2 linked regions of the Coturnix japonica genome follow. The protein of the gene in region 2 interacts with the protein of the main gene of each other region in a pairwise test. Links are inferred from orthologs where the notes say so. Each region holds a gene or a part of one and is shown on either strand. Other genes may lie near its edges.

Region 1 (4,229 bases), on a different chromosome or scaffold from region 2:
GTAGTTAGCAGACATCATCATCATTTACCTCTAGGAAAGTTCTGGGTGTTTACTTTGGTTGCTGGTTTTGGTTTTGTTTTGCATTTTTCTCCCCAGTTTCTTCCTATCACTGGTTCTCTTTCTTATCAGATCAATTCATCTAGTTCAGACAAGATTATTATTAAGACAGTATTGCTGTGTGAGTCCTGACTTGCTAGGGCTTGGAAATGCAGGAGCTTTGCTACAGACAGTGCTAATTAAAGCAGTAAATTCAATTCCTTTCCCAAACATTTCAACGTGAAAATAAGCAAATGCATTTTTAGTATGGAGTTTCAGCACCATTGGATTGATCCTGATCATCTCACTGAATATACATCAACAGTAAGAGAAGTGAAAATGCACATTCTGGTGTTTTGGTATTGGGGAAGGGACTGCAATAAAGATGTGACAACAAGCATTGTGCTGTCAGCATGGCACATTTCCTACTAACACCATTTTACACTGAGTGTGTGTAAAGAGACTGCCTAGGAAAAAAAAAAGTCAGCTAATAAGGAATTAAGGGAGAGCTGGGAGAACTGCTTTTAGATGGAGTTGTGATGAAAACCACGTATACACCAAAATAGGAAGGTTTTTTTTTGCAGTGTTACAAACTTAAGAGTAAAAAGGAGCCAAGAACTGGCACTGACAGAAACAATACATCAACTGGAGTGGGAATTTGAATAAATTAACATGTCATGCATATACAATTTGTTTGGCTTCAGATTTTTGAATGTTCAACATACTGTAGCTGTAGAAATTAATATTGATTTAAACCATCTGCTGATTATATTTTCTCTGTATTTTTAGAAATACTTTCTTCTGTGTTTATAATAATAAATATCTGGGAGCTTCTTGCAGAATCACACTTTCAAAGTACTATCACCAACACTGCATGAGTTAGCAGTTCGTGAGGTTGCTCATGTAAAAATGCAGGCCAGAAGGAACAGATTTGAAGGACTGACCCATATCTACTTGGCCACCACTACTTGTTTGTCTACCAGTTAAAGTCCTACTGAGAGATTCTGTTCTGCCTTTTTCACTGCCAATGTATTTGTGAAACTTCTATTCACAACCTTTGGAAGTCAGTTGAAAACACTGAACAATCTGCATTATAGAGCTATTAAAAGGGCAATGCTTACAGCTGACGTGGTGGAAGATGGAATTCAGTCAAACTCTGCCCCAGAAAACTGAGGGGGAATACTGTATCTGCCAACTCTAGAAACAGACTCTAGCCATTCTCTAAGAAAATGCAAATACTGACACGTCATGCCAGTGATACAGCCTACCACCATCGCTCTGGTAGGAAGACAAGGAAAAGTTTCCTGTGTTTTACAGTTTGCTGCTAGAGAACATCCTCGTCGTCCTCCTCCTCATCTTCCTTGGCGATGAAATGCAGCCTTCTGTATTCCCGCCTGCTCATTGTTGTGCTCGGGAGAACAGCTGCTAGCTCATCCTTGAAGAAAAAGATGAAATGATGAAGTGAAGTTGCTGCAGATGGCAAACCTCCCCCATCTCCAGCAGTTCCCATTCTTCCCCAGTCTCATACATGAGGCATTAACACACACACATCTGAATAAACCTTTACAGAGTGCAGAGGGGAGCCTGTCTGAACCAGCTCATGGTCCAAGTGAGGGCTGTTGTTCTCTCTGCAGTCAAAAAGGATGCAGAGGAGATAAAGTCCTCCACAAGTGAATCCTCACTGCTCCCACTAAACACAACATTCATTAAATGGATAAAAGATGAAGGCATCAGGTGTCCAAATGTATATAATATTAAAGGCAGACTCAACCTTTACCTGCATAAAGTCAATGTTTCCAAAGAACCGATCCAGTGGCATCGGCTGGTTACTGTCTTCATCCAAGAAAGCACTGTTATCTAGTTCTGTTAGTTTCTTAGGGACGTCTCCATCCTTCAAGCAGTTCCCTTCCAAAATCAAGCTCTCACAGCTGTTCTCCTCCCTGCAGGCACGATCTTGCAGATCCTCATTGCTTTCTGTTTTTGAAGGTGCACTACTTGCTTTTGCCGCATGTGGCTTTGAAGAAACATCACCTTCCTTCTCCTGTTTTTCTCCACCGGTCTCTGGAATTCTTTCACTTTTTTCCAGCTGAATTTCGTGGTGATCTGTACCTTTTGATGGTGAGCCCTCAGCAGGTGTTTTAGATGCAGGAGGGTTCTCACTCTCACACATACAGCCTTCCAGTCCTGACTTCACCCGACTGTTTCTTTCACATTTTAGCCTCTTGGAGGGCCGTCTGCCAACTGCTTTGTGTGAAGAAGCCTGTTAGAAAAACAAAGAGAAGCACATGAAGTTCAAAAGCACCCGAACACAGCAGCAACCAGCTCGTGTGGCATGAAACTCCATGCGAGAAACCTCCTGAGCTGTAGCACCAAGCACAGCCACTATGGGAAAAGATTATTTCCCCATAAATAATAAAAGATAAAATAAATAAAAGAGCATTTAGGAGGAAAAGAAAGGCCCAAATAGAGCACCCCCACGATGGGTGCCAGGCGGAGGACATCACCGCTGGCCGCTTCCCCATCGCTCCAGGCCTGCCCCCTGCCACCACAACGGCACAGCACAGCCTCCACAGCCCGTTCCCTCCCCAGTCACCCCATGTTCCCTCCGGTCCATGGTATCAGCCCGGCTCGGCCCTCACCTGCCGGCTCCCCCCGTCTCCTTTTCCGCTACCCGCCCCGGCTCGGCCCTTCCCGCCCGCCGCCATCTTGGGGAGGAGCAGCGTCCCGGCCAGGTCCGAGCCCGGCGCTGCGGGCCGCCCTTCACCACAGGAGGGGCGGAGAGATGCCTTGGGGTGCTAGGCCCATCGCGGTGTTAAACCGCCTTCAGTGGAAATAAAATAAAATAAATGTGTATGTAGGCTGTGTATGTGATAAACACTTCGGGTCTTTTGCTTCCCAGCGCCTTCTTTTTGAAAGCTTTGCTTCTAAGATGTGCATTGGGAAGTCGTTATCCCTTCCCCACAGCCCTCAGGGAAGGAATGGTGCAGATAGCCAGCAGATAACATTGCCATTGCACATCCTGGCCTGGAAAAAGCAACAATTTGAGCCTCAGAGATTCAGCAGCAATATTCCTCTGAGGATATCCAGCTCAGATGTTTTCTTTCTCAGCTCCAGGTTGGAAAACAGGCCTGCTCAGCGCTCAGGGGTCTTCTGTGCTTTGTTCTATGGCTGAGATGATTCATATTCTCCTCCAAAGCACCGAAACTTGCTCCGCTCTCAGTGTTGTTGCTCGCAGCCAAGGAATACAGATGATTGTTTTTATTATACAGTGAGAACTTATACTGCCTCGTAAACAGGAGAGACTGGAGCTGGCTGCAGAGAGGCATTTTTGCTGCTGGAAAGCTTGGATGCCGTCTCGATTTCCTCTGTGAACTGAAAATAGCAAGAAAATAAAAAGCCGTTTGGAGATGTTAATGGATGGTTTCTATAACACCGAGGTGGCAGACTCAGCAAGGTGGCCTCGGACACATCCAGGGGATGCACACCTTGCACAGACAAAGCCAGAACAGCAGGGCTTAGAACCAGCATCATAAGGGTTGGAAAGACTTCTGAGGTTGTCAAGCCCAACCATCAACCTGTCGAGCTTCTTTGCGAGGCTCCTAGATTCTTCTCACTGCAGGAAAGGCAGCAAGAGCCCCCTAAGAGACCTGCCCATGTTTCAGCAGCTCAGTGACTCCTGAGTGCCTTGAAAGTCTGCACAGAGACCACCGGCAGCCAACAAGCCCTGAAAGCCAAGCAGAGCGGCTCAAACTATTTACATTAAACTCACATTTCCACATAAAAGAGGGCTTGGTCTCAACCGTATTAAAAAGTGGGTTTTGTTAGAATCTGTTGTCTAAGCAGGCAGGAGAAAGAGGGAAAAAAAACCAACAAGGCGATTTTCTGAGCTCCCTCGTTTTTATGAGAGCTGGCTGGCGGGTATGAAGCAGCAGCTGATGAGCTTATTGAGCAGGATGGGAGGCTCGGGCTGTGAAATTCGATGTGTAAATTAGCTTCTTGCAGCACTTGTCTCTGTGCCTGTCACTTCCACCAGTGTCTCTGTCTGTTATAATCCTCCGAGTTCATTTGGTTAAACATTAGTGACATGCAAGGGACAGCAGCCAAAAATAATGTTGCCTGTAAACGTTAACGGCTGCGAACTGTTGAATGAGAGATCTATCAAACACACCAAGCATCCAGCAAGAGCACGGACT
Region 2 (2,458 bases):
TAGACAATTACTTTACAAACCTGAAGATCTGCACTACCAGCATGCAAATCTCTTCTTCCAGGAGAGTTCCTAATACTGATATAGGAAACTGGAATGTATTAAATACTCTGAGATATGGCCGGAAATCAAACCTCAGCTCCTAGGATGTCCCACTGCCAACGTACACAAATGAACATTGTCACATCTTAAGACTTAACACATAACATCCTGGAAACAAAACACAACGCATCGCTAACACAACTGCCAACTCACATTCTTAGAACGAGCGGAACTCAAACAAAATTCCATCAATAGAAACTACACCCTGCGGGTCTGAGATCGGCCTCGTTTCTTTACTGCCATTAAGTTGCACCATCAGCTGGGCAAGGAGCAGCTCCTTCCAAGAGACCACCACTCTGCAGGTCATGTGTCCCAGCTGCTGTCTTTAAAAGCTATGTTGACTAATCGCAGCTCTAGTTCAAAAGCATCAGGACGGTCCTGCGGGTTGGCAGCCAGCATTTCCTTAATCAACTGTTTCATCTGTGCATTCATGGATTTTTTCTTTACGGGGATGAGCAGTTCCATCTTAGGGTTTTCTAGCAGTGCCTCTCCAACGGGCACAATGGCTGTCCCCTGTTTGACGTAACTACCCAGGAGTTCTTTCTTTGTCTCTGTGTCTACGAATGTGATTCTTTCTAGCATTGCCCAGATTATGATCCCCAGTGCAAAAATGTCTGCTTTGGCAGTGTAGTGTCCTTCCCAGACTTCGGGGGCCATATAGAAGTCAGTCCCACAGGCAGTCGATAGAAAACACTTATTTACGTTGACTGGTTCCTCAGGATTCTGGCCTGAAGCTGAACATACCTTACTCAGCCCAAAGTCAGCTACTTTCAATGTGGGCTCCAAGTCACTGGCATCCATCCTGCTCTGCGATATCAGAATATTGTCAGGTTTGAGATCACGATGGATAATCTGATTTTTGTGCAGGAAAGCCAGCGCACTGCTGAGCTGAAGCATGAAACTGGTGTTGGTCTTGCGGTTAGGTTTTCGAGACAACAGATACTCATTCATATCTCCTCCATCACAGAAATCCATTACAAACCAAAGGTAATAAGCACTTCTGGGGTCAAAGACTATTTCTCCTTTTAATGAGGTCTCTACAAGCTGCAATAAGGAAAAGAAGTGTCACAACTACCCGATGACCACAGAAATAGAAAGATATGATGGAAAAACAAAAAAAAAGCACACATTTTGGATCTTCCTCTCAACAGCTCAGAGAGTAAGGTATTGCCAAACGAGTTCATGCAAAACTTATGATGTAAAAAGGAAAAAAATCACAATGTATTTGTTATTTCTGTGTGCGTGTGAAGCATATCAACCTCACGCTCCTACCCAGAAGCCAGAGCCAGCCCCAGATAACAGCTTTCTGAAGGATATCAAGCAGTCCTTGCACTCCCATCTGTTTCGGCTGGCCAGCGTCCCACCCATTTTGCTAACTCCAAATACAAACACAGCCCCAACCATGAACCCCTGCACAGCAGCACAGGGCTGGGTTTGTCCTCTGCTTATAAGGCGGCCTCACTACACGTTCTTAAGAGCCTGCCCTCCATCCCTGACACGTGAATGCATTCTAGCAAGCGTTAGCACAGGATCTCTTAGCTCAGGAGAATGCTAATCCATAGGCACAGCTCAGCAGCTGCTGTAGCAACACCTTTCTCACTGCAGCACACTAGAACATAAGCAGAGAACAACTCCAGCAGCCAGTCCCAGTGGCCACTTTGTACAACGTGCAATATAAACCAGCAACTCTGCTTGCTCTCTGTTCACACAGCTACAAACCTGTCTTTTCAGCTCCTCTGAGGTGGCTCTTTGCACACTCTGGAATGTCAGACTTGCTAGTTAGCACTAAACCAGTGTTTACTAAAGCAGATGCAGCCTCTATAGGCCTTCAAAAGTGAATACAGCTATTAATACATAGAGAAACTTTAAAAAGTCTTCCTTCTCCCAAACCAAGAGCAAAATTAGTAACAAATGATAGCTACGTTTAGTTGTGAGCACAGTTAGTACTCAAACCAATTTAAGAGCAATTCTGTGTTAGCACTTAAACTGTATACTCAGGGTTTACAGCCAATAACAGCAAGATGGGAACCACAGCACAGGAGGGAGCAACTCCAACACAGAGCTCTTCCCACACTGGAGCTGTAATTGGGTCTCAGCTCAGAGCATCCAGATGACAGAATCCACCTCCAGATCTGGGACTGCGGCACAAGGAAGCCACACCAGCTCAGAGCTCACTACATAAGCCTGGTTCTGCTTATGTCTCCTGAAGCACTGCAGGAGACACCAACAGCCCTTCCCAGGCCTCCTCACACTACACCAGCTCAGCCTGGTAATGTAATATCACCTGGAGTGGGCAGAAGAGAGAGCAAGCCAAGGGAGATCTGGGTTTCTCTCTTTCAGCATAGGCTATCATAAAGTG

The links.
Region 1: the proteins of PDIK1L (region 2) and C21H1orf174 interact in binary tests that used the Homo sapiens proteins (3 or more experiments, as listed by UniProt). The two-hybrid records come from large-scale screens. The link is inferred for Coturnix japonica from reciprocal best matches to the Homo sapiens genes PDIK1L and C1orf174.

What each region holds. Positions count from the first base shown.
Region 1 is NC_029536.1:765,467-769,695, reverse strand, and holds C21H1orf174 (UPF0688 protein C1orf174 homolog), read right to left. Parts: upstream 2,810-4,229; 5' UTR 2,742-2,809; coding exon 2,676-2,741; intron 2,297-2,675; coding exon 1,814-2,296; intron 1,472-1,813; coding exon 1,361-1,471; 3' UTR 371-1,360; downstream 1-370.
Region 2 is NC_029538.1:2,855,420-2,857,877, forward strand, and holds part of PDIK1L (serine/threonine-protein kinase PDIK1L), read right to left. Parts: intron 1,144-2,458; coding exon 403-1,143; 3' UTR 1-402.